Linked DNA regions of Mus musculus. The protein of the gene in region 4 purifies or fractionates together with the protein of the main gene of each other region. This does not show direct contact. Links are inferred from orthologs where the notes say so. Each region holds a gene or a part of one and is shown on either strand. Other genes may lie near its edges. The genes, in order: Cdk4, Prkaa1, Araf, Fkbp5, Ikbkg, Nudcd3 and Ptges3.

Evidence for each region.
Region 1: the proteins of Fkbp5 (region 4) and Cdk4 purify together in Homo sapiens (affinity purification with mass spectrometry; 3 studies listed by BioGRID and IntAct, counting the BioPlex papers as one, with this or other methods). This does not show direct contact. The link is inferred for Mus musculus from reciprocal best matches to the Homo sapiens genes FKBP5 and CDK4.
Region 2: the proteins of Fkbp5 (region 4) and Prkaa1 purify together in Homo sapiens (affinity purification with mass spectrometry; 3 studies listed by BioGRID and IntAct, with this or other methods). This does not show direct contact. The link is inferred for Mus musculus from reciprocal best matches to the Homo sapiens genes FKBP5 and PRKAA1.
Region 3: the proteins of Fkbp5 (region 4) and Araf purify together in Homo sapiens (affinity purification with mass spectrometry; 4 studies listed by BioGRID and IntAct, with this or other methods). This does not show direct contact. The link is inferred for Mus musculus from reciprocal best matches to the Homo sapiens genes FKBP5 and ARAF.
Region 5: the proteins of Fkbp5 (region 4) and Ikbkg purify together in Homo sapiens (affinity purification with mass spectrometry; 3 studies listed by BioGRID and IntAct, with this or other methods). This does not show direct contact. The link is inferred for Mus musculus from reciprocal best matches to the Homo sapiens genes FKBP5 and IKBKG.
Region 6: the proteins of Fkbp5 (region 4) and Nudcd3 purify together in Homo sapiens (affinity purification with mass spectrometry; 3 studies listed by BioGRID and IntAct, with this or other methods). This does not show direct contact. The link is inferred for Mus musculus from reciprocal best matches to the Homo sapiens genes FKBP5 and NUDCD3.
Region 7: the proteins of Fkbp5 (region 4) and Ptges3 purify together in Homo sapiens (affinity purification with mass spectrometry; 4 studies listed by BioGRID and IntAct, with this or other methods). This does not show direct contact. The link is inferred for Mus musculus from reciprocal best matches to the Homo sapiens genes FKBP5 and PTGES3.

The regions. Positions count from the first base shown.
Region 1 is NC_000076.6:127,062,038-127,066,334, forward strand, and holds the start of Cdk4 (cyclin-dependent kinase 4), read left to right. Parts: upstream 1-1,497; 5' UTR 1,498-1,722; intron 1,723-2,182; 5' UTR 2,183-2,198; coding exon 2,199-2,416; intron 2,417-2,547; coding exon 2,548-2,683; intron 2,684-2,797; coding exon 2,798-2,965; intron 2,966-3,117; coding exon 3,118-3,227; intron 3,228-3,915; coding exon 3,916-3,966; intron 3,967-4,063; coding exon 4,064-4,199; intron 4,200-4,297.
Region 2 is NC_000081.6:5,178,361-5,181,860, forward strand, and holds part of Prkaa1 (5'-AMP-activated protein kinase catalytic subunit alpha-1), read left to right. Parts: intron 1-327; coding exon 328-572; 3' UTR 573-3,500. UniProt on the Homo sapiens protein: Catalytic subunit of AMP-activated protein kinase (AMPK), an energy sensor protein kinase that plays a key role in regulating cellular energy metabolism.
Region 3 is NC_000086.7:20,855,043-20,858,542, forward strand, and holds part of Araf (serine/threonine-protein kinase A-Raf), read left to right. Parts: intron 1-2,569; coding exon 2,570-2,746; intron 2,747-2,835; coding exon 2,836-2,882; intron 2,883-3,351; coding exon 3,352-3,470; intron 3,471-3,500. UniProt on the Homo sapiens protein: Involved in the transduction of mitogenic signals from the cell membrane to the nucleus. May also regulate the TOR signaling cascade. Phosphorylates PFKFB2.
Region 4 is NC_000083.6:28,427,150-28,430,649, reverse strand, and holds part of Fkbp5 (peptidyl-prolyl cis-trans isomerase FKBP5), read left to right. Parts: intron 1-1,286; coding exon 1,287-1,429; intron 1,430-2,183; coding exon 2,184-2,298; intron 2,299-3,500. UniProt on the Homo sapiens protein: Immunophilin protein with PPIase and co-chaperone activities. Component of unligated steroid receptors heterocomplexes through interaction with heat-shock protein 90 (HSP90).
Region 5 is NC_000086.7:74,428,458-74,432,480, reverse strand, and holds the start of Ikbkg (NF-kappa-B essential modulator), read right to left. Parts: upstream 2,801-4,023; 5' UTR 2,660-2,800; exon of another isoform or gene 815-2,659; intron 1-814. UniProt on the Homo sapiens protein: Regulatory subunit of the IKK core complex which phosphorylates inhibitors of NF-kappa-B thus leading to the dissociation of the inhibitor/NF-kappa-B complex and ultimately the degradation of the inhibitor.
Region 6 is NC_000077.6:6,197,652-6,201,902, reverse strand, and holds the start of Nudcd3 (nudC domain-containing protein 3), read left to right. Parts: upstream 1-1,451; 5' UTR 1,452-1,768; coding exon 1,769-1,960; intron 1,961-4,251.
Region 7 is NC_000076.6:128,068,982-128,072,481, forward strand, and holds part of Ptges3 (prostaglandin E synthase 3), read left to right. Parts: intron 1-234; coding exon 235-304; intron 305-1,152; coding exon 1,153-1,251; intron 1,252-3,086; coding exon 3,087-3,176; intron 3,177-3,500. UniProt on the Homo sapiens protein: Cytosolic prostaglandin synthase that catalyzes the oxidoreduction of prostaglandin endoperoxide H2 (PGH2) to prostaglandin E2 (PGE2).

The DNA.
Region 1 (4,297 bases), on a different chromosome or scaffold from region 4:
TGCTCATGCCTATAAAAACAGCATTTAGGGGCTTTAGCACAAAAATTGCAATTAATTTGAGACCAGCCTCAACTCTAGTGTCTCAAATATGATTTTAGAATTTAGGGTTCAGGAATATAGCTCAGTGACTGAACCCATGCTTACTGCATATAAAAACACTAACTCCAAGCCGGGTGTGGTGGCACACGCCTTTAATCCCAGCACTCAGGAGGCAGAGGCAGGCAGATTTCCAAGTTCGAGGCCAGCCTAGTCTACAGAGTGAGTTCCAGGACAGCCAGGGCTACACAGAGAAACCCTGTCTCGAAAATCCAAAAAACCAACCAAACAAACAAACAAAAAAACACTAACTCCAATCCCCAGCACCCCCACCCCAAATCAATTTAAAATAGCTCTAGATTTTAGGCAATTTTTCACAAATGGGAACATGGTCCTTCATCCCATATCCCTAAGAGGTGGGAGACAATAAAGGAGTTGGAGCAGACGAAATCGTCACACAGATCTACCTCTGTCTAACTAGATTTCTGTAGGCAGACCATTTAGGAAACGCTGATCAGATCAAGAATATGTTCTAAGCTGGACTGGGGAAAAAATAGGAACATGACCCCAACGAGGAGTTGCAGGTTTGCAAAAGGACACGTCATCTTCCAGCAATGTGGTGGTGACTGACCCTGGACATGCTTACCCTGTCATCTGTTTATGCAATCACATATATATGTAGCAATCTTAGTGTAAAGACTCTTGTAAAATCAAGAACCCCTATTTTCAATCACTTCTTGCTGCTTTTAATATTCCTGGGGAGGTTTACAGGTTGGGAAGAGGGAGGGCATTAAATTGCTGCCCCCCCATACCCATACAGTGGCTTATTATATTTCCTTCTGTCCATCTTTTAATCCTAGTTTCCTCCTCAGATAGAAATTATTTATTCCCTGTTTTATAAGACCACAATTACCTATACTAGTTATCTTTATCATCACTTCAAAGGGCGAGTGACTGAGACACCAAAACAAAAACATCGCATACCAACTGGAAGGAAGCACTTAGTAAAATTGTGTTGAATGAATGAGTAAAAGAAAGACACAAATACGAATGTTTCCCCATGGCGGTGGAGTGGAAATGTTACAGCACCATTTCTGGCACCAGGATCTCCCACTAACACCTCGACCTCCCGCCCACTCAGAGACCCATAGTGAGACTGAAGATGCGCTCTGGCTCGGCCTTGAGCCCAGAGTTGAGAGCTGGTTGGCCCGGTTGCCATGACACCGCCTTGTGCTCCACCCTCTCTCGCCCCCACACACCCCCTCGGCAGTCAGGGTATGGCAGCCAGTCACGTGCCACACAGCGTAACCACACCTCTGCTTCCCAGCGCAAAGTCAAGGGGTCACGTGGGATAGCAACAGGTCACGTGGCCGTCAGGGCCCCGCCCCCTTCCCCACCACACCCCTCCCATCAAAGCAGCCCGGGTTGCCCACTGCGCAAGGGTGAAGATCACGTGTCCAGAACGTCCGGCGCCCGCCCCGCCCCCCGGGTTTCCGCGCGCCTCTCTGGCAGCTGGTCACATGGTGAGGGTGGGGGTGAGGGGGCCTCTCTAGCTCGCGGCCTGTGTCTATGGTCTGGCCCGAAGCGTCCAGCTGCCCGGGACCGATCCCCGGTGTATGGCGCCGCAGGAACCGGCTCCCGGGCCCAGATAAAGGGCCACCTCCAGAGCTCTTAGCCGAGCGTAAGGTGAGTGCAGTCTCATCCAGGATCGGGGGACCAGTCCCCGCCACCACCAGCACCCTCCAGCTCCCCACGCGTGCGCGTCGCTGGCTGATTATGGAAGGTGGCCCAATGGCGGGAAGTGGGGCCTTTGTGGTCGCGGGCAAGGGTGTGATTTTGGAGAGTGAAGTGCAGAATCTTCGGTGCAAACCCTGTGCACTGTGTGATCCTCTTTGTGCCTAGTGCGATGTCCTCCGAAAGGAAAGAAAGCATTCTTTTTCTTCCTCCGGGACAAAACGTGGCCGGAGGAGGAGGGTTTGATGGGAGTCTTTGTGTTACCTAAGGCGCGGGCCCTGGAAGTGTGGAGGGGTGGGATGTTGCTGATCGCGTTGGCGAGGTCTTGTGCAGGAGTTCCTTTGTTACCGCCGGGTCATCCCCCTCCTAACCGTGAGAGTGAGTTTGGTATTAGAAGCCTCTGTGATTGTAGATCCCCTGCTTCGAGAATGGCTGCCACTCGATATGAACCCGTGGCTGAAATTGGTGTCGGTGCCTATGGGACGGTGTACAAAGCCCGAGATCCCCACAGTGGCCACTTTGTGGCCCTCAAGAGTGTGAGAGTTCCTAATGGAGGAGCAGCTGGAGGGGGCCTTCCCGTCAGCACAGTTCGTGAGGTGGCCTTGTTAAGGAGGCTGGAGGCCTTTGAACATCCCAATGTTGTACGGTGAGAAGGTTGGATTGGGAGTGGGGCGGAGAGGACAATAGGACCCGTAAGGCAGGAGTGGGACCCTAGAACGCCAGAGGCCACGTTGAGACAAAGGGGACGACTAGCTGGTGATCATTTGTTCTTCTCAGGCTGATGGATGTCTGTGCTACTTCCCGAACTGATCGGGACATCAAGGTCACCCTAGTGTTTGAGCATATAGACCAGGACCTGAGGACATACCTGGACAAAGCACCTCCACCGGGCCTGCCGGTTGAGACCATTAAGGTGAGTAGGGGTGGGGCTGGGGGCGAGGGTGGACCGATCTTTGCAATAGAAGTTGTTGGGATTTTGAAGTGATACATAGTTTCCGGTGTTCTGTGCTTTCTTCTTGAAAAACAGGATCTAATGCGTCAGTTTCTAAGCGGCCTGGATTTTCTTCATGCAAACTGCATTGTTCACCGGGACCTGAAGCCAGAGAACATTCTAGTGACAAGTAATGGGACCGTCAAGCTGGCTGACTTTGGCCTAGCTAGAATCTACAGCTACCAGATGGCCCTCACGCCTGTGGTCAGTAAAAGGCGTTAGCCGACTAGGTTGTGATAGGGGTAGCTCTTGGTGGTTTCCCATAGCAACTGAGGAGTCTTGTACATGAAGTTTTCAGAGCCAGGCAGGTCTGGTTCGTGAGGTCGACACTCACTCATTTCTACTATTCTCTTCAGGTGGTTACGCTCTGGTACCGAGCTCCTGAAGTTCTTCTGCAGTCTACATACGCAACACCCGTGGACATGTGGAGCGTTGGCTGTATCTTTGCAGAGATGTTCCGTCGGAAGTATGGGACTAGAAACTTTTTGTTGTTAATGGTACAGGGTTAGTCCTGGCCGTAGATCAGGTTGGCCTTGAACTCACAGAGCCCTGGGATTAAAGGCATGCGTTACCACCGCCCGTATGGGACTTGAAGCTCTTAACCTACCTTCAGTTGCACATAGCTTTGGCTGCTTGTCTTACTGTGCTAGAGGTTGAAATCAGAACTCACACACACTCAGTAAATGCTTCCGTGCCACTGAACTTCACACTCCGTCGGCCCCCAAGTCTTTTACAGACATGCCTGTTCTTGACCATTCGCTTTTGTGCATGTATGGTACGGGACATCCAGCCTACCCAGTTCATACTGACCACCTTGCCTAGAACCAAGAAACCATATAGGCATGCCCTGGATTTAGGATCTTCCCGTTCCTCGTCTCCACACTCTCTAGTTGGGTCTACATAACGGTTACTCCTCAATTTTTTTTTTCTTTTAAAAATGTATTTATTTCCATGTATGTGAGTACACTCACTGTCTTCAGACACACCAGAAAAGGACTTCAGATTACATTACAGATGGTTGTGAACCACCGTGTGGTTGCTGGGAATTGAACTCAGGACCTCCGGAAGAGCAGTCTTATCTGCTGAGCCGTCTCTCCAGCCCCCACTCCCCTATTTTTGATATAACACATACTTTGAGTCTTTTTCTGCCTTAGGCCTCTCTTCTGTGGAAACTCTGAAGCCGACCAGTTGGGGAAAATCTTTGAGTAAGTATTTGATAAGGAAAAGGAAAGACATTTCCTGCTGCCGCGGAGACAGGAGCTGGGAAAGGCCCCTCCTAACAGAGTTGTCCTGTCCCCACAGTCTCATTGGATTGCCTCCAGAAGACGACTGGCCTCGAGAGGTATCTCTACCTCGAGGAGCCTTTGCCCCCAGAGGGCCTCGGCCAGTGCAGTCAGTGGTGCCAGAGATGGAGGAGTCTGGAGCGCAGCTGCTACTGGTACTGGACCTGGGCGGGGATTGGGTTAAGATAAGAAATACCGTGGCCTGGGGAACTGGCTCAGTGGGTAGAGTTCCTTTGCATAAGTGTGAGGACCT
Region 2 (3,500 bases), on a different chromosome or scaffold from region 4:
TGTGCTTGCCACTACCCAGTGAGTCTGTGGTTTTAATAAATATCTCCTAGCAGTGATATTAATTTACAGGTTATTAGTTTACTGTTTCTTAGTTGGTGTGAAAGTCAAGAGTGCTATACTATGTATCCCATGTTGACTGGCCATTGTATGTATTTTTTGTGCTGTGTGTAGAAGTGGTAAGGTGCTTTACAAAGGCACGCTTGCTCTATTTGAGAATGTAAATAAAACCAGTGTGCTTTGGAGAACTGGTTAGTAGTCTCACTTAGGTGCTGCTTAAACACTTGAGGGAGAAATAGATAATAAAACATTGAAATTCTTTCCACCCAGATGAGATTACAGAAGCCAAATCAGGGACTGCTACTCCACAGAGATCGGGATCCATCAGCAACTATCGATCTTGCCAAAGGAGTGACTCTGATGCCGAAGCTCAAGGAAAGCCCTCAGACGTCTCCCTTACCTCATCTGTCACCTCCCTCGACTCCTCCCCTGTCGACGTAGCTCCAAGACCAGGAAGTCATACAATAGAATTTTTTGAAATGTGTGCAAATCTAATTAAAATTCTTGCACAGTAAACCTAAAATTTTGCTTATTTCTTTGATGCAATAAGCATGCATAATAAATAATAGCCAAATACTTCCACTTACCAAGTTATATATATGTGTGTATATAACTGAGGATTGGCCTTTTGGAATGCAGTTTGCACAGGGACTGGAAAACGATTGATCGTTAAAAGCCTGATGTGCAGAATTGAATGAGGATCACTCTGTTATCCCGTATTCAGTAGGTACACACAGCGTAACACACACACAATGGACTGTAGGTCTCAAGCTTACTTGACTTTTGGCCATTTGAATTTGCTGTAACAGGTCTCAGTCGACCATAAATTTACCATAAAGCCTTCACATATTAGTACATGTTGATGTATTTTATATTAGCTTCATGAATTTATTGAGTTGCCTGGAATCCTCATAGACCTTATTAGATAATGCTGTTTTCTGGGCTCCTTAACTTCCAAAATAGCTACTAGTTTCCATTTTTGGTTACATTGTGAACTATTTCCATATTCCTCTTAACATGCTATTTTTGTGTAGTAAGTCATTTCAGAGAGCAGTCTGGATTTAACATTTTTCTTTGGCTTGTGAGCCCCCAAAGCCCCAGAATTTATATGTTCAGACCCTCCAAGCCCTGAATTTACTTTTTCAGGTTTGCCCTTTTATATATGAAGTGCTGCTTTGGATCCAAGAGCCGAGTTGCTCACACTGTAGTGAATCGTGTTGCTTCTGTCAGTGCACAGAGACGCTATCATGTCAGCCAGTGTTGAATGTCTTTGGTATTTTCTAAGCCAATCCAGTGCATAGAAAGGACAGTGTTTATACGCTCTGAATGCTAGGATTGGGGTTTTAGCCCCTGATTTTATTCTGGACAATTTTTAAAGAAAGAAAAGTTGCAAGAATTTAGTGACTGCATGTGTATTTACTACTTAGCTCCTACAACTACTGTTTGGCCATATTTGCTCTCTAGATCCACACATGTATAATATACAGATATGCACATATATTCGAGTATATGTTTGCTTTTATTCTGAACCACTGAGATGTTAAGGTATATATATATATATATATATACCAGCCCTGAATACTTCAGCACTTCCTAAAAATAATAATAATGTCCTTTAGAAACCTTCTGAAACCATTATAAAATCAATAATTTCCAGATAGTGCCTGGTTTTCCAGATTAGCTGTAACTGCCCAGAATTCCATTTAAGTTACAGCCTGATTTTATTTGCAGTTCTTTAATCAGGTTAATAACACTATTTTGAAAAGATGTAGAAGAAATCCTTTCTTCAAACTGGCCAAGTTTATTTCAGGTTTTAATTCAAAATAATGAGTGGCTAAAGAAGTGTGATTTTTCTTCAATCTCTGATTTATATGCCTCTCTCCTTTTAGTGGTAGCATAGCATAATGGGTGTAAGTGAAGATTTAAGTCACGCTAGACAAAGCCGGTATTGTGTGAGCTAATAATTAATGTCATATTGGCCATATTTGGTTTCCTTTAAGTTTAGGAAATTGGTCAGAGGCTCTAGCCCAGTGGTGAGGCTGGGTCATCTCCAGCAACGTGAAACAAAATGCATTTTCTTTAAACATTAACCATCCCCCCTTTGTAAGAGAGACTTTTCCCCCCACTGCATTCATTTAAAAATATTTTGCCCCATCCCCAAACCTGTCCAGCACTTATGTAAGAACGCATTTGGAGGACATGATAGCTTGCATAAAAGATGACGCTATAGTTTATGCACTGATTTCCGGACAAAAATGATGCTTCTTTTTGTTCGGGGCTTGTTTTATTCAACTCCGAATTGAATGCTGTATAAAGTAATGGAGACTCCATTTACCTGAGTTCCTGACTGTATTTATACCTGTGTGTTTGTGCCCTCTGTGTGGGGCTCCCTGATGTCACGTATGCTGTCTGAATGCAGCGCTGTATTCCCGCTGTGTAGAACAGAAGGCTGCATTTGTAAAGTTATAGATTTGTAAATAAAACTGAGGAATATCTCTATAAACTGTTGGGGGGACGGGGCACAAAAGGAGGAGCCAACTAAATAGGACCTTCTAAAATTTGTTAATTTTGTAATCTTTGCTTCTTTTATAAGTTATTCTGTGATTCCTTTTAGTTACCGAGTTTTATTTTGAAGACATTAAAATATTGCACTTGTATAAATAGTATGATAAATGCAGACTATTGCAGTCAAATTTTTTAAAAGCTAGGATATCTGAAATGACAACTTTCAGTTAAGTATGTCAAGCCCAGGACAGGATTTTCACAAATGTATTGTAGTTTGCAAATTCTTACACTGAAAATGTAAAGGGAGTCAATGCAAATGATTTTTAATCTTTTTTTTATTATCTTTTCAGCAATTTATATTTTCTTGTGATTTTATGCAACCATATTTTTACTTTGTCTTGACAACTGAAAGCTGTGTGATGTTTTTGACAGAAAAGTACTGTATACATAGTTTTAAATATAACAGATTTTGCTGATATGTAAAAATTTTGCCATTAAAGTTGATTTCTCATGAAAGGAACTTTTCTACCAAGTCGGGAGACGCAAGAGCTTAATATATCTAATTTAAAATAATTTCACTGAAATAAACACCATTGCTTTTACTTTGATTCTATTTTTTTCTTAAGATGCTTTTATAGTGTTTGGGAGTTTTAGATAATTTTATATGAATTCTCTCCCTACCTTGCCCCATCCTTTGGATCTTTGATACCATTCACAAATAAACTCATGTGGCTGGGTGTGTAAAGATATGTACCCCAAGGGGCATCTTGGGAAAGAAAACCATAAATTCTTCTCCTTAACTCCTCCCTCTGCCTGTTCATTGTGGGCTCTGACATGATGAATGGAATGCCACACACAGCCTGACTGTAAGCCGTTGTTGGGAGGAGTCCACCATTGTGGCTTATGTATGTTTGCCCAGAGTAACCTGATTTAGAAAG
Region 3 (3,500 bases), on a different chromosome or scaffold from region 4:
AAAAGAACTGGCTCCTGAAAGTTGTCCTCTGTTCTCCACATGTACACTGTGGCACACATGCTCTATATACACAGATGATCACAGACAAAGGAATCTTCATATTTGCTGGGAAGATAGCTCCATCAGTAAAGTGCTTAATATGTTTGTGATTGAGTTTAGATTCCCATCACCCACATAAAAAGTAAAAAGCTGGGTGCAGTGGTGCACACCTGTAATCCTAGCACTGGGAAAGCAGAGACAAGAGTGGATTACTGGTGCTTAGCCAGTCTAGGCAGTTGGTGAGGTCTAGGTTTAGTTAGAGATTCGGTCTCCAAAAATGAGGTGGAGCCGGGCGTGGTGGTGCACACCTTTAATCCCAGCACTTGGGAGGCAGAGACAGGCGGATTTCTGAGTTCGAGGCCAGCCTGGTCTACAAAGTGAGTTCCAGGATAGCCAGGGCTACACAGAGAAACCCTGTCTCGAAAAACCAAAAAAAAAAAAAAAAAAAAAAAAAAAAAAAAAAAAACCCAAAGAGGTGGAACACAATCAAGGGAGATAGATAATCCAACATCAACCTCTGGCTTCTCCACCCATGCACATGCACAGTCATGTATGTGTGCCACATACAAAACAATGTGGAGAGTGATTGAAGAATACACCTGACATTGACCTCTGGTCTCCGTTTGTGTGCACAGATGTACATGTACACGCATACCTGTATATTGCCTCTGTCTTTGTCTGTCTCTGTTTCTCTCTTATACACACGCACACGCACACACACACACAAATCCCTGTGTTGAGAATGTTGGTGCATGCCTGTAATCTTAGTACTTGGGAGAAATCCCTGTGTTGAGAATGATGGTGCATGCCTGTAATCTTAGTACTTGGGAGGCTGAGGCAGAAGGAACAACAGTTTGAGACCAGAACTGGTGTGATAATGTAGTAAAGTGCTTATCATGTAAGCAAGAAGACCTATGTTTGATCTCTAGCACCCATGTAAAAGGCTGGGTGTGGCAGCACAGGCTTACAAGCTCAGCACTGGAGAAACACAGATAGGAAGATTCCAGAGGTTCATCAGTCTAGACTAATTGGCATGTCCCAGGTCCCAGTGAAAAATCTCCTGCCTCAAAACCAGTTTATAAAATAATGCATGAACAACTCGAGTAGGTCCTGAAAACAACATCCTAGGTTGACCTCTGGCCTCCACTTAAGTCTTCATACACACGTACTAACACATACATGTATACTTTCACACACAGAAATACATAGATTGTTCAAAAAATCTGGAGTATGTGATGAAACCTAGTCTCAAAAAAAAATTTTTTTTGTGGTAGTACACATGTCTATACTCTTAGCACTTGGTAGGCTGAGGATCAGGAATTTGAAGCCAGCCTGCGATACATTAAACCCTGTTTCAAAAACCAAAACTAGAGCTGGGCGTTGGTGGTGCACACCTTTAATCCCAGTACTCGGGAGGCAGAGGCAGGCGGATTTCTGAGTTTGAGGCCAGCCTGGTCTACAGAGTGAGTTCCAGGACAGCCAGGACTACACAGAGAAACCCTGTCTCGAAACAACAACAACAAAAACCAAACCCCAAAAAACCCCCTAGTCCTTGTGTGTAAGTATGTATCCTCAGTGGTAGAGCATGTGCTTAGCATATGAAAGGTTATGTTCCAGCTCAAGTATCAAAACAAGAAGGGAATGTCCTGGTGCTCTGTTGTCTTCTGTGATCTAAATATTATCCCTGTTGTTTGCATTTGCGTACTCAAACAGTGGTTAATACTTAAGAATGTGGTTTTCTCATAAACTATATTAAAGAGGTTTGCATGTGACAGTTTCCATGAAGTAGACTCAGGTACCCAGAAACAAACTGGAAGTTTCAGAATGTTTACTGTTTGTCCAGCTGTTTTAAGGACCGCTCAGACCATTTGTTCACCCTTTGTGACATCCTCAGAAAGCCGCTGCTGTAATGATAGCAGTTGTATGGTTTGGGAACAAGAGGACCAAAGTGGTTAGAAGTCCTCTTCAAGGTTGTACAATGAGTGACTGGTAAAGGTTTGGGTTGTAACATGGTTTCGGACTCTAGATTCTTTGCCTCTAAGCCTCTCAGTGATTAGTAAACTGTCATCCTCCCATGTCACACATGTCTCTATGTCTTGAGCCTCTCTCTCTCAGTATTGATAAAGAAGGTTGGCTTCCTACTTTGTCATCTGTAACATAGCCACTGCTAGGTATGGTGGCTAATGCCCATGATCCCAGAGCTTGCGAGGTTGGGTCAGAAGGATCACTGAGAGCTTGCGGCCTGCCCAGGCTACTTAGCTCCAGGCCAGCTTGGTATACAACATAAGACCCTGTTCCAAAGCCATAAAAAAATAATAAAATAAAATAGAATTTTGTTGAGGACGGTCAGAACATCAACCTCTACTCAGCTCCCAGAAGCCCATCAAGTCTCACAGATTGCGATCTGACAACATTTGGCCCTGAGCACCCTTGAAGACAAGGTAAGATCGCTTTTCCTATTGCTGAGTAAACACATGACACTTGTTCTATTTCTTGACCCCTTCCCCCAACCTACCCTCCCTGCCTACAGGAAGACACGGCATGTCAACATTTTGCTGTTCATGGGTTTCATGACTCGGCCGGGGTTTGCCATCATCACACAGTGGTGTGAGGGTTCCAGCCTCTACCACCACCTACATGTGGCTGACACGCGCTTTGACATGGTCCAGCTCATTGATGTGGCCCGGCAGACTGCCCAGGGCATGGAGTGAGCCTCACATCTTAGAGACTTGGGGAGGTGGGAGGGATAGCTGAAATAGTCTCCAGACAATTCACTACCCACTTCCATCTCCACAGCTACCTCCACGCCAAGAACATCATTCATCGAGACCTAAAGTCCAACAGTATCTACCTGTCCCTGGCTGGGACTGGGGGTGGGTAGTAATCAGAGTGGTAGTTTAAAGGGATGATTTGGGGGGTAAGATTCTGGAGGTGAAGAGGGAAGGGCCTATATCCTGTGGTTTCTTGCCAGGTAACAGAGCTATACCTGGTAAAGGGCCTTTTAAATGAAGGACCTTTGTTTAGGAGTCAGATGGTTCACGTACTGTTGGGTACTCTGCTCAGGTGAGATGTAGTAGTTGTAGATGACATTACAGTGTCCCAGGCATGATAGCTTTAGGTGTCATCCAGGAGACTTGTTGGTTTTGGGTCACAATGGAACCAAGTGGGGTCCTATCAGTCGTAGATAGTATGAAATGGGGGTGGCTTCTGGCAAGAGACATAACTCACTAGAACAGGGGTTCTGAGAACCATCCAGTAAGGGTATGAGGCATAGCTATTGGGATTCCTTGTAATGGCCCTTGACCCTGCTGGATATCTTCTTACATGAGGGGCTCACAGTCAAGATTGGTGACTTCGGCCTGGCCACAGTGAAGACACGGTGGAGTGGGGCACAGCCCTTAGAGCAGCCCTCAGGGTCTGTGCTATGGATGGTAAGTTGGGCCAGGCTAGATGGGGAGCAA
Region 4 (3,500 bases):
GGTGACCTCCACATGTGCACCAGGGCACAGGCACACGTCATACACAGGTCATACATTAATCACACAGGAGTGAGACAGAGGAGCGCTGGCTCATTTTTTTTTAAAAGATTTATTTATTATTATAAATAAGTCTGTCCCCAGATGTACTAGAAGAGGGCATCAGATCTCATTACGGGTGGTTGTGAGCCACCATGTGGTTGCTGGGATTTGAACTCATGACCTTTAGAAGAACAGTCAGTGCTCTTACCCACTGAGCCATCTCACAGCCCCGGCTCATTTCTTAAGATGAGGTAGAAGATTACGAGTTGAGACTAGCTGGACTGTGTAATAAGACCTTATCTCAAAAGGCCAAAAGAGAGGGAGTTATATGTGGTGGTGAATGTGAGGGCAGCAGCTTTTCTTTATTTTACTAAATAATTTATTCTTTACTAAATACCAGACTCTTTGTGTGTATATACTGTGCCATGCATTTGGGGTGGGGGCTGTTATTATGTTGTCTGGGTCAGGAAACAGATTAAACTTGCACAGGTTTGCAAAGCAAACCTAAGGTTGGAATCTGGTACTTTGAACCCCTACAGTGCATAATCCTCCCTTTAGTAATCAAGAAAGAAAGTGAAGCTATTAAATAAAAAGGAGTTCAGAATTGAATGATAATATGCTGCCATATATTGAGGTGTTGGTTTGTATTGTTTTGTTTAGGTTTTTCAAGACAGGGTCTCACTATGTAGTCCTGGCTGTCTTGGCACTCTGTATGGACCAGGCTGGCCTTGATCTACCCACCTCTGCCTCCCAAGTGCTGGGATCAGTCCCCTAGAACTGAAGTTACAGACAGCTGTGAACTGCCAGGTGGTTGCTGGGAACTGAACCTGGGTCCTTGGGAAGAGTGGCCAGTGCTCTCCACCGCTGAGCCATGTCTCCAGCCCCTAAATGAGACATAGTTCATGCTGCACATGATAAGAGTATTACTCAAGCATGGTGCACACACCTGTCTGTCATCCAGGAGTCCTAGACCCAGACACCATCTGCCAGAATTCAGAGTTCTAGGCCACCTTGTGCTGCATTATGAGGCTGTCTTAAACTTTCAGAACAAAGACTTGTAAATATTGACACTGAACAGGTTGCCTGCTACAGGTCCATAAGAGAGCAGTAAAGCTGAGTTTCTCAAGTTGGCAAGAAAGGAAACTTCCCAAATGTTACAGTTCTTATGATTTGGCAGATCTGGGGTTTGTTTGAAGATTTTCTTTGACAGATTTGGTTTTTGTTTTTGTTTTCTTGTTTTCTCTTAGGCCAGGTTATCAAAGCCTGGGACATTGGGGTGTCTACTATGAAGAAAGGCGAGATCTGCCATTTATTATGTAAACCAGAATATGCTTATGGCTCGGCTGGCCACCTCCAAAAAATTCCATCAAATGCAACTCTCTTTTTTGAGGCAAGTATGTGTAGTGCTGTGCATGTGCGGCCATGACACGGAGCTGCGCTGGCCGCTGGCAGCCTGCTCCAGCTTATTTATTTTGGAGCTTGGCTTCTTGAATTGTTTCCCACACATCCAGGGGGTGTGCCAGTGCTTTCTTAGAAATGTGTCTGGCACAAAGTGGGCATATCCAAACAAACAAAAGTCACAGATGTGGAAGTAAAAGTTCTGGTCAGTAGAGGAAGTAAGTCATATGCATCCTGACAGGCTGGAAATGGTGGTGGGGAGTGTAAAGTTGTGAAGGTTTCCGACTGTCTCCTCATATCCATCAGGAGCTGTGAGTCGTGGTCCATTGTTTACTGCGCTGAATTAATTACACATAATTGGCCAAACTGGATCTTTATCTAACACGGTGAAAGCACTTCTCAAGTCAGTTGAAGGCCAGTTTCTTAAATCTTAAGGTGGCAAGGTCACAAGTCTGGGGTGGGAAGCGGTTGTCCTCAGAGTCAGCCAAGACTGTTTTGCGCCAGCACCTTGTCCTCCTGGCCTTTTGCCCACAAGGCAGTTGTCCTACTATTTCCTGTCTGTCTTTGCACGGCAGTCCCACAGGATGCAGTCCTAGACGGTGTCATTACACGGAGTTCCTTCCAAGAACTGCAGAGTACATCGCTCTCATGTCCCACGTTACTCTTATCTAAGCTGTATAGATAAAGATGTAGCTTAAAGTTTTATAAAAATAACTGTTAAACTGGCTTTCATCTTTGCATTCTAGATTGAGCTCCTTGATTTCAAAGGTGAGGATTTATTTGAAGATTCAGGCGTTATCCGTAGAATCAAACGGAAAGGCGAGGGATACTCAAACCCAAACGAAGGAGCAACGGTAAAAGGTGAGTAGTGAGTACTGCCGGGAGCCAGCCTTCCCTGAGGAAGGAGACATGCTTCTAAGAGAAAAAGTCATTAAACTGTCTATAAGAAGAAGAAAATCTATCTAAAACAACTAGAATGATTTTCTTGATTTTAGCATGTATATAATATTTAGACCAATATTTTATTACACAAGTCTAGTTTGGGTTTAGTTATTTTCTTCTTGCAGTGTTATAGGTAACATGTCATTCAGGATTGGTTCTAAACAAAGAAGCTCTCAACCAGGAACAGGAAATTGGGATCTAAGGCTGGCTCTGCACCTCTGGGCCTCTCCTGCGCCCTCACTTCTTCCAAGACTGAGGCTGTGCTGGGCTTCTTGGTCTCAAAGGCTCTGCGAGCCCCAAAAACCCACATTGGGAGTCGTGCTTATGAAAGTCGAAAAGGCTAGAGACAGCTGTGACACAGCCACTTAAAAGCTTACTCATAACATGTTTTCATCGTTTATTATGAAAAATTCAAATCTATACACCAGGGTTTTTCCTGTGCTGTGGGAACTCCTCCAGAGTCAGTGATTCATAACAACTTGTTTTGTTTTGATTTAGTTTTTGAGACAGGGCATTTGTTGAGACCAGGAAGTTAATAGGGCCATCCCCTGTCCCACTCTCGTTACCATACTAACTTCTTTTCTAGTCTGGATACAAATTCAAAACCTGGAGCTGCATTTAGCCCTCATGGCTTTATTCTATTCCAATGAATTAGTCTTCCATCTTTGTTTCCTGTGACTTTGACACTTTTTTGTTTTTGTTTGTTTGTTTGTTTGTTTTTCGAGACAGGGTTTCTCTGTGTAGCCCTGGCTGTCCTGTAGACCAGGCTGGCCTCAAACTCAGAAATCTGCTGCCTCTGCCTCCCGAGTGCTGGGATTAAAGGCGTGTGCCACCATCGCCCAGCAACTTTGACATTTTTGAAGACAACTTTCCATTTGCTAGAGAATCCCATAGTTGTTGTCTTATGCCCACAGGGACTAGATTGAGCTATTAGAAAATGCCCTGTGCGTGGCGCTATGCCCTCTTTAGCTCATCATTATCATCATCACCACCATCATCACCATCCCTGTCAAGAGGCATGTGGTGACTTGGCACTGGTGACTGAGGGCTAGGGTAGAGCCTCCCATGCTTCTCTTTTGTCAAGTTATTCTTTGTTGTGAGTGCTGAGTGCTTCAGAAACG
Region 5 (4,023 bases), on a different chromosome or scaffold from region 4:
GGTCTTTACAGATGTAGTTAAACTAAGGATTTCAAGCCAGGCATAGTGGTGCATGTCTTTAATCCCAGCACTTAGAAGGCACAATCTCTGCGAATTCAAGGCCAGCTTGCTCTACATAGTAAGAACCTGTCTCACAAAAATCAAGGCTCTCAAATTGAGATCACTGCAAGTTATATAGGTGGGCCATGAGCCCAGTAACAAGTACCTTATTACTCAACTAGATTGATATAACCACAGGCCAAGAAACAACTGAGCTACCCACAACTATAAGACACATGAAGGATACTCTTGTACAGCTTGCAGATGAAGCATAACCTTGTTCACCTTCTGGTTTTATTCTCCTGGCCTCCAGACCTGTGAGATATCAATTTTCTGTTCTTTTAAGCCACTTGGCCTGTGGTCACTTCTTACAGGAGTCAAGAAAACACAAACACATGATAAAAGAGACTTCAGGAGACCACATTGTACCTGAAAAGTGTTCACTGGGGATAGAGACCTCTTGTGACTTCTTTGCTCTAAGAAGTGTGAAAGTGTGAACTGGGGTGTCCGAGACACATGACCCCTGATCTGCTTATGCTGGCTTTTAAACCAGAGAATATGCAGGACAATACTAACCTGGAGACCTTGTAAATCCTGCCTCATACTGACAACCAGGAAGAGAATGATCTCAATGCAAGTTTCCAGAAGTGGGCTTTCAATAAGGGAGACCTCCTGTAACACTGGGGAATATTGGCTATTTATACTAAAGGTGTTGCTACCCATAGGTCCATCTGCCTGAGCCCACACAACTGACCCTCCCCACTTTTTCACCTACTTTCTTCCTTCAGGTTCCAGAAAAGCCTTCTCTGCTGGTGACTCACTCCCTCAAAGGCTGATGCTGCTCAGGCCCTTTTCCTGAGTCCCCACTTCTTCACGTTGAGGAACTTTGGGACTTCTTTCTTAACTGCATTCACCCCTGCAGTAATTCCATCCGGTCTCATGGCTTTTAACCCAAATCTTAATGTTGATAATATCCCAAACAGTTCTCATTCCTAAATTCCAGATATTTATAAAACTACTTGGATGTCTAGAAGTCTTAAAAGAAGTTGGAGAGATGTCTCAGCTATTAGGAGCACTCAGTGCTCTTCCAGAGAGCCCAAGTTCAGTTCCCAGCACCCATGTTGGGCAACTCACAACCTTTTGTAACTCCAGCTCCAGGGGATTAGAAACTCAAAGGGAAGGGATCTAGAAGAGACTGTTTAAAAAAATATTGAAGTATGGGCAAGGGAGACAGCTCAGTGGATAAAGGCCCTTGCTATGCAAGCCTGGAGACATGAGAACATATAAAGGTGGAAAGAAGATAGCTGACTCAATGTTGTCCTCTGAGCTCTACACATTCTAGCCATGGCACCTGTGCTCCCTGTACAAATCATACATCATGCATGCATGTGGGGGGCACACACACAAATAGTAATTTTTGTAGCATGCCAATTATGTCTCAAGAAAGCTGTTATTGAAAATCGCAATGGGTGGAGCAAGAGAGATAATGGTTCAGGGATTAAGAGCACTTGTTGTTGCAGATGTGGCTCACAAACATCTGTAACTCCAATCCAAGGGGATCTGAAACCTTCTTCTGACTCCCTTGGGCACTAGGAAAGCATAGCAAAGCACCTATACACATAAAATAACATCTTCTGTAGAAAAGAAAATAATCATGGTAAAGGATTGTAATGGGGTGTGGATTAAAGTTAACTATGAGCTGATAGTCACAGCTAAGAAATGTGTACATGGAATTTACTATATTATTATTTCTACTTTTGTACATTTTAAATTTTTTCAGTAATTCAAGGCTGACAGCGCTATCATCTTTCACCTGCATTACTGCAATAATCTCTTTACGGGTCACCATGCTTTGCCTTTTCAATGGCCCTTTGCAGTTAATTGGCCCCACTGGGGCCAATTACCTCAAAAATAACTCAAACTACTTCTCTTCTCTACCATGAACTCTTTCAGAGTTTCCATTTCTCCTAGTGTTAAAAAGCAAAGTCCATACAACAGCCTACAAGATCCTATACCACCTATACTCCCTTCCTTCCTCTCCACCAACTATTCTCCCTTGCCCTCTCTGGTCCTTCCTTTTTCCTAGGAAATGCCAAGACAACACATTCCTTCTCAGGTCAGATAAATGTTATGAGGACAGGCAAACAGATTACTATGAATCATTTGCAAAGTAAACTGAGGTGCAGAAGGTAAGACCTTTAGTTGTGAAGGTACACGTGAAAACTTTTTAAAGACTTCAAATGCACTCAAGTTTGATAAACAGCCTAGCCTGATGGCGAACACCTGTTGCTCTAGCACTCGAAAGGCTGAGGCAGAACTTTGAGTTCGAGGTCTACCTGGCCTACAGTGCAAAACGTGTTTCAGAAACAGTTTGATCAACAGAAAATGTCTGCTACCTAAAGAGTTCTAGCACTAGGGGCCAAGCCCTTAGGCGACAGCTGCAGTGAAGGGAAGGGCAGATTCAATCCGACTAGCCTAAATAATCTGGGTAGCGAATAATTAGAAGCTTGCGGCAGAACAAACTGGGCCTAAGGTGGGGGGAAGGGTGTGGACCTCTGGAGTCTCGGAAGCTACGAAACAGCCACCGATGGAGCCCTGTCTTTGGAGAAGAGGACCACACCTGTCAGCAGAGTCGGCCAGAAGTGAAGAGGGCAGGAGCAGAGGGATCCGACCGCTCCGACAGAACCGGAGCTCCTAGAAAGTCCTAGTCAGGCGGTCACCCTTCCCTTCTCTGCAGTGGAAAACTCCACTTCCGGCTTCCGGTGTCGTAAGTGCGGGATCCGGAAGTAAAACACAGACTCAAAGGCTTGGAGATTAACCAGTGAATCAAAACCCCAAAGTGCCATACTCTGTTCCAAAGAAAAGTCTTAGATCGCCAGCCTGCGTCGGCCAGCAGAACACCAGAGCTCTCCTCACTGATAAACATCACACACTTATACACACACTTTTTTTTTGAGACAGGGTCCCATAAGACCAGGGTCTCGAACTCAGAGATCTACCTGCCTCTTTTTTCCCGTCTGCTAGGATTAAAGTAGTGCGTCACCACGCCCACACTCGCCCCTACCCCATTTTCAAGGCACCGCATCCGCACTAAAACACCCAAGTTTCAGTCTGGTCCTGCTACTGGGCTCTCTGCCGCTGGGCCCCCACCAAGGAAAAAGCCTAGAGGAAGCTGCGAAAGTCCAGCTCCGAAGCCAAACTAGCAGCTAGGGAAGGCGTGGCTATGCTGCTAACGGAAGTGGGGTCATCCGGGAAGGTGCAGGGCCTCGAAGGTCCAGCGGAAAGCTAGGCCATACATAATGGCTGGGTGACACAGGAGACGGGGACCCAGGAGAACTGTGTGGAGCTGCACTTATGACAAGACTTTGCGATCTCGAAATTGTAGGGGCAGCGGCATCGGGGAAGGCCAAAGGGCGGGGCTGGCCAGGGATGCGCGCGCATCTCCTCCTGCAATGATAGACTAGCCCGAAGCTCCTCCCCTCCTGCCTCTCCTGAGGCGGGTCAGCTCAGTCAAAGCACACGCCCTCTTGCGTTAAATGGGCCAGCGAAGCTTAGCCCCCGGAAACTGGCTGTGCGCTACAGATCTGTGAACGTGTTTGGCAGCGGCAACTAAACTCAGGTAAAGGGGTGGTCTGATGGCATGTCGGTGGAGGGACATGCTTCACGCTTGTACGCCGCGAGTCCCTTTGATGCGCGCTAATCTACAAGTTTTTAACCCATCCCTTTGTATCCCGCACTTTCCCCGCATTGGGCCCATGAGGACTAGACCTTTAGAAGAGAAGGGACTTTCGGGGATCACCCAACTGGGCCAGAAGAGAGCCGGAGCTGAACTCCATCATCTGCACAATCAAACGTGCTCAGTTCATTGTGGAGTTTCTGGCAGACACCCGAGTACGATACGATGGTCCCATATACAGAGTGTGATGCCGTAACCAGATTTTATCTAGCTGCCCACAGTGGATGTCCTAGGTGAATTATATTAAA
Region 6 (4,251 bases), on a different chromosome or scaffold from region 4:
AGACCCTGAGTTTGTCTCCTAGAACTACAAGAAAACAAAAGTAAAATCAGTATTTTGCTCTGTGTGGTGGCATATATCTTTACTTCTGCACTTGGCAGGCAGAAACAGGCATATTTCTGTGAATTTGAGGACAGTTTGGTCTATACAGCGAGTTCCAGGGCAGCCAAGGCTGCAGAGTAAGACAATGTCTTTTAAAAAAGTTAATTTGTAGATGTTAGTTAGTCTAGTAGAGATGAAATTCATTAAAATCTTTTTTGTTGTTGTTGTTGTTTTTTTTCCGGTCAGGATCTCCTTGCAGAGCCCAAGTTGGTCTTGAACTGGCTATGTGGATGAATAAACATTTCTGGTTCTGTCGCCACCTTCCCAGTGCTAGGTTTACAGGTATGGGTTACTACACAGTTTATACAACATTCAGGACACATTAGTCACACATGTGGGTTACTACACAGTTTATACAACACTCAGGACACATTAGTCACACACTTTACCAATTTAGCTACATTGAATGAAAAAAAAACAAAAAGGAGGACATGATGGCTTCTAGGTATGGTGGAGGAGGTTTATTGTAGACAGGAGGGAGCAGACAGCCAGAAGCAGAGGCATCTGGGAGAATTCAGGGTGGAAGTGGCTGTAGAATGAGCTGGGCCATGTGAGAAGGGTTAGGGGAGAGGGTAGAAGAGACCTGGAGTCAAGAGGCCAGGAGACCAAGAGGCCAAAGGGTAAAAAGGACCTCATAACCAAAATGGCTGGGTTACATAGGAATCAGAGAAGCTTGGGGAGGAAAAGGCCAGCTCAGACTCTGGACTGGAGAAGTTTAGGGTAGAGGTCAGGATTAGTATGCCAGCCAGAAGGATCCTGTACCAGAAGGTACTGAGGGAGACTGGTGGCCAGAGTCTGCTTTGATATTTTATTAGGCATCTCAGCCATTTGTCTTCGGTTTGTGACCTAGCATATGTTCCTAATCTGTCTGTCTTTCGTCTCCCCCCAACCCTCTTCTGAGACTGGGTTTGACTCTATAGCCCAGGTTGGCCATGATTTGGATGCGGGGATTACAGGTATAAACCACAGATTGATTGTGTGTCAACCTTACATAAACGTTTTCTTAAAATGTCTATATGCACGTATTAGTAACGGCACGTGTATACACACATGCTATACATACGGATGCACACACACATATTTACAGTATCATACTTCTTTTTTTCCTTCACTGAGCTTTTCACACTTTTCTTGTCCTTTCAAGTCACCTTGAAATCTGGTGCAACCTTCTGAGTTTCACTCATAGCTCTGTTAATAGGAATTCCATACAATTCTACAATATTCCTTTTCCGTTCCCTCCGCTAACAAACAAAATGTGGTATTATAAGAAGGCGCACCAGACACCTACGCAGGAATTCAATCCAGAAAGAAGAAAGGCTCCCAGACCACGTGACACCTCCAGGGACTACGTCAAGTGGCCGTCACCACAATGCTTCCGCCCTCTTCAAACATGGTTGGCAAGCGCTCTCCGCATCGTGACCATGGTTATTCTTGCATGTAGGAACCGTACTGAGCGCATACCAATCTCCTTTAGGCAAGTGTCGCGGCGGAGGAGATCCAGCAGAGCCGCAAGAACGACGATCGGTTACCGCCGGTAGTAACAAGCGCGGACCGGAAGTTCCGCGTCTTCGCTGTCCGGGGGGAGCCGTTAGGCGCGCACGCCGGAAGTGGCCAATCAGCCGGTGTGAGGCGGTGCCCACTGTGTTCGCGTCCCTCGGGCAGCAGAGCCATGGAGCCCGGGGCTGCTGAGCTTTATGACCAGGCCCTGTTGGGCATCCTGCAGCACGTGGGCAATGTCCAGGACTTTCTGCGCGTGCTCTTCGGCTTTCTCTACCGCAAGACCGACTTCTACCGCCTGCTGCGCCACCCTTCGGACCGCATGGGCTTCCCGCCCGGGGCCGCACAGGCCCTGGTGCTGCAGGTGAGGTGGAGAGAGGCGGCGGGCCGTTGGGGTCCAGCAGGTCCTTACCCCAGTTCCACCTCCCAGCGCCAGAGGTGCCCCGGCTCGCGTCCTACGTCTGGGAACTGCGCCACTCCGTAGCCCACCCTTCAGGGTTTGTGATTCTCTCTGGGGTGCCACCAGGTGATTTGAGTAAATGGCCAGGCGTTATCTGACCCACGGATCCGTTGGCAGGAATGCGCTTCTTTGGGTACAGGCTGGGTTTGTGCGGGAGATGCTTAGGTGTTGGACCTGTCAGCCTGGGTTTGAGGGCCTCCCAGCGCCCTGTGGGCATCCCCAGAACGGTGCAAGGGGCTTGTTAGGCAGGGTTCAAACCGTGCAGGCTGTAGGAGGAGGACTTTCACAGCGGGAGAAACTAGTAGATTTCAGAATTCCCGGGCTCGGAGGTGGCAGGAATGACTGGTATGTATTGATTGGTGGGTGTGGCCTCTTGCCAGTGACTTACTAAGTTGGTGGACAATTGTAATGTTTACGAAATTTACATTTGGATTAAAATTTATATGTCCTAGGTTATATTTATTGTTTTTGAAGCGTTACTAATGACTGACTCAAGTTGTTTGGACACCTTTTTAAAAACTGTTTTCTTTCGAGACAAGATCTTGCTGTGTAGCCCTGGTTGACTTGGAACTTGCCAGGTAGATCAGGATGGCTTCGAACTTATGGTCCTCCTTCCCGACGCTCCCGCGCTGGGATTGTTGACATTGTTGAGTTAGTAATAAGCAAACATTTAATGAATATATTTAACACTCTCAGCTGCGGTATAGACTCTGATGGTATGGATATTTAAATAATGGTCTGTCTACTTTTGACACTGTACAGAGAGTAAAGCACAGACACTAATAGAGAGCTCTGCTAGTTCTCTGTGTGGTAGAGCTCTTTGGAAGGAAGTGATAGAAGTGGTAGTTAGGAAATTGAGACAGTTTTGTAGGAGACGTTGAAGTAGGTTTTGAGGGGCGTGTAGAGTCTGATTCACAAACCTATAAAGTGCTTCATGTCACCTTTGCTGTTTGTTGACCCCTGCATCAGCCCCAGACAGGGCTTTCCTGTGTAGCTCTGAAGTCCTGGAACTCACTCTGGCATCAACCTCAGATATCTGCCTAGGATTAAAGACTCGAATTGCCACCACCTGGCTTACCTTCCATCTTAATCTGTTCTGTGGGCTTGTCAGGGGTTACTTTCTTCAGTTCCTCTCAGTGGAAGAAGCCAAAGCTTAGAATGTTCTAGTAACTCTTAACATAATGACCATGAGGTGATCAGTGGGAAGGTTTGCTACTGAGTTTCAGTTTCAGAATGGAAACCGATGAGTCCCTGGGGTAGCTCATCCTTATCAGTGGCCCAAGTGCTGCTGGTTGAGTAATTGGAGAGGGTGAGAGGTGGCACCTTGTGTTTCTTTATAATGAAGTCTTGCCACCTGATCGCCATGCTCTCTGAATCTGACGTAGTAGTTCAACAAGGTTAGATGACAACAAGAACTTCACTCTGTTTCCTGCAACTCAGGACTTCAGTTTTCTAATTCCAAATCTTTTTGCCCTTTTTGTCATTTAGCCACTCCATAGTATGGTGAGAACTTTTGTTTTGGTTATGAAAGGAGGAAAGAGTATCCCAGTGGCTGGCTGGCATTTGAATTTCTTCTGTATAACATCTTATTTTAGCTTTAACACAATTTGAGAGGTTGGTTCTTGTTTGTCTGATGAACTGATAAAGGCAAGATAGATGCACTTATCGTACAACTTTATAAAACAGCTACCTCTGAAAGGTTAAGATAGCTCTATAGGTTACAGTGTGGTGCCCATGCTATGGGAGGTAGGGAGCCGAGGAAGGGACAGGGTCAACCAAATATTTCAAGGTTCCAAATCTGGGTAACTGGAAGAGTGAGGTCATTAACTGTATTGTCACTTGGATTTGGGGGGTGGGAAAGTTTTAGATAAGTTGAATTTGAGATCGCAGACAGGTTCTGGCTTCAGAGCTGTTGGAATGGTAGGACTGGATCTTGCAGGAGATGGAAGGACTGTGAAGTCTGAAGAAGAGCCCAGTGTAGAGGACAGCTGGGGAACGGTCACCGTAAGGGGCATTGGGTTCTACCGCAGCCAAGGTTACAGTCCCAAGTACAGGTTTAAGAGTTGTTTGTTCTTACCCTTTCTCCAACCCCAGGTGGTTCTCAACCATCAGCCTTGACCGAGAGCCCTTTTATCTTCTCAGTTTCTTTCTTTTGTGGGGTGGGAGGTTGAAGACAAGGTTTCTCTGTGTAGCTT
Region 7 (3,500 bases), on a different chromosome or scaffold from region 4:
CCACAATGGGCTGGGCCCTTTCCTATCAATCACTAAGAAATGTACTATAGTATAGGCCTTCTTACAGTCTGATCTTATAGAAGCATTTTCTCCTTTGAGGCTCCTGTCTCTAGGATTGTGTAGAATTGACATGAACTAGCCAGCCACCTTTCTACATCTGTGTTACCCAAAGCTTACTGTATGTAACTGGCTTTCTAATCTCTTTCTCTGTCTCACTTTTTTTTTTTTTTTTAGTTGTCTTGGAGGAAGCGATAATTTTAAGCATTTAAATGAAATTGATCTTTTTCATTGTATCGATCCAAATGTAAGTACCATTGATGCTTTTTTTCTGATTTAAATGATGAGAAGCTGGGCGTGCTGCTGTTATCTTAGGGTTTGTTGCTGTGAGGAAACCATGACATGGCAGTTTTTATAAAGGGAAACGGGCTGGTTTCCAGCTCAAGGATTCAGTCCATTGTTGTCACAGAGGGAAGCATGATGGCATGTAGGCAGATAATTGTGCCAGAGAAGTAACTAAGGGTTCTACACCTGGAGAGGCAGGAAGAGACATCAAAGCCCACCTGAAGAGGCACACTCCCCCCAATAGTGCCACCCTTCTCAACAATGCCAGTCCCTATGAGCCTGTGAGGCCACTTTCATTTAAACTACCACAATAATAAACATTAAATCTTAAATCTGCTTAGCCTAACAGTTTAGACACTCAGCAACCTCTCTTCCTACATATTTTTTATTCTGTCACTGGCAAAATGACAGTACCTTTGAAATCTTTCTATCTTCTATCAGAAATTTTGAGTAGCCAAAAAGCTTGTTTGGAAAGAAATTTTAAAAAATGAATCAGGCTTGTGGCTATAAGCTGAAAGTTTAGGAAGTAGTAGCAACTCAGAAAAGCTTTGCCTATGTAGGAAAACCACCTCAGAGGAAAGAGACAAAACTTTGTGTAGAGGATCCCTCAAACACTCAGGGGGCTAATTGTGGAGGATCTTGGGTTCAAGACTGGGCTGCACAGTAACAACCAAATTATGAAGGTCCAGCTCTGTTACAGAGAACTTTCCTAGCATGTTTCAAGGTCCTAAATATTATCCCTTAGCAGTATGGTGGGAGGGCTGTTTTTATCATAGCAGAGAGATGAGTGATATGATGCTTTTGTTGTAGGATTCCAAGCATAAAAGAACAGACAGATCGATTTTATGTTGTTTGCGAAAAGGAGAATCCGGCCAGTCATGGCCTAGGTTAACAAAGGAAAGGGCAAAGGTAGGTTGGGTTTTTTGTTTTGTTTTGGTTTCTGTTTGATTGTTTTAATGTTTTAAGAATTAAAAATAGGTGTCTTTTACTCCTGCTTCTTTCGCTTGCCTCTTGCCCCTTTGCTCTCCCTTTCTCCCCATTCCGTCTTGCCCCCTCCCCTCTCCAAGTGGTCATGGTTGGCCTCTACTTCTCCACTTTCTCCTCTGCTTTTCTCTGCTTCTGCTATTCTCTTAACTCCCCTCCCTATGTCCTGAATAAGCTCTATTCTGTACTTTAAAAAAATAAAATAAAAATAGGGCAAAGAGCTGGCTAAGAGGTTAAGAGCACTCACTGTCTGCTCTTTGGAAGGTCCTGTGTTCAATTCTCAGCAACCACATGGTGGCTCACAACCATCTATAATGAGATCTAGTGCCCTCTTCTGGCCTGTAGGCAGAATCTTTTTAAGCCTAAAAATACTTTTTTTTTTTTGGCTTTTCTAGACAGGGTTTCACTGTATAGCCCTGGCTGTCCTGGAACTCACTTTGTAAACTCAGAAATCCACCTGCCTCTGCCTCCTGAGTGCTGGGATTAAAGGCGTGTGCCACCACTCCCGGCAATACATTTTTATAATTGTAAAAAAGCTGGTGTTCTATACTTGGCATTCTCATCAAATGTCATAAAATCAGACCGTAGTTGATTAGGATCTTTTGCATTGGAGAGACAAACTTTTGCATCAGGTGTGGTGGCACACTTGAGGCTAAGGCAGAAAGGTTGTGACATCAAGACTAGCTTGCCTGGGTTTCTTAGTTACTATTGATGTGACGAAACACCATTTGAAACAATTTGGGGAGGAAAGAGTTTATTTATATTGCTTATACTTCATATTCTTAGTCCATCATAGCAGAGCAAGAACTTGGAGGCAGGAGCTGCTAGTCCATGGAGGGTGCTGCTTGCTTCTCATGGCTTGTCCAGCCTCTGTTTCTTATAGAACCCAGGACTGCCAGCACAGGGATGACCCCCACCCCAAGTGAGCTCGGCCCTTCAATCACTAATTAAGTAAATGCCTTACATCTGGATCTTACGATGGCATTTTTCTCAGTTGGGTTCCCTCCTCTCAGAGGACTGTAACCAGTGTTGAGGTGACAAATTAGCCAGCATACTGATAAGTTACTTGGTTACTGTAGGGGAGCAAAGTTTAGTGACATTCAAGATTCAAGGAACTGAGGATAGGCTGGCAGGGTGAAGGTGATTAACTGCCAAACCTGAAGGCCTGAGTTCTGATCACAAGATGGTACAAGGGGAGAGTATGTTAGAAACAGGATATTTCTTTGAATTTGAGGCCAGCCAAGTACCTTCATAGTGAGGTACTGCGTAGACTGTAAACAGTGGCACTGGGGTATCTCAGTTGACAGAATACCTAATATGCACAAAGCTGTAGGTTGGAAACAACCTAACAGCATGACCTATAATCCATCTCTAAAGACGGATTAATAGTTGAATGTTAGCCTTTGTAAATTGGATTAATTCCAGGTATCATGCAATACTTCCCAATAAATGTTTTTGTATGAAAGGTTAAATTGGACAGTCAAAAATGATTCCTGGAGCCAGTCTGTGGTGGCGCAGGCCTTTAATCCCAGCACTAGGGAGGCAGAGGCAGGCAGATTTCTGAGTTCCAGGCCAGCCTGGTCTACAAAGTGAGTTCCAGGACAGCCAGGGCTACACAGAGAAACCCTGTCTCGGGGGGAAGAAAAATGATTCCTTGACTTATTACCCCTCTTGGTTTCTTGTGGATTTTTCTTTTTGAGCTGATTTTATGTCTCATTACTGGTTATGAATAACATGGAGGTGATATTGTTGATCTCTAGCTTAATTGGCTCAGTGTGGACTTCAATAATTGGAAAGACTGGGAGGATGACTCAGATGAAGACATGTCGAATTTTGACCGTTTCTCTGAGGTAAGTTTTTTTAATTGCATTTTCTACCCTGTTCCCATAATATATTCTATATAATCCTTTTAATCCCTTTTTTCTTTTTCCATTTTAATGTGTATGGATAGTTTTTGCCTGCATATATGTGTCTGTGCACCACTTGGGACATGGTTCCAAGGCAGAGTCTGAAGGTGGTGTCAGGGTCCCTGGTAATGGAGTTACAGAGGGTTCCGAGCCACTATGTGGTTGTTAGAAATCAAACCCCAGCCTTCTGAAAGAGTAACAGGTGCTCTCAACCACTCCTTGGTCACCCTTTTTGGTTTTCTGGACAGAAACCCATGTAGTCAGGAC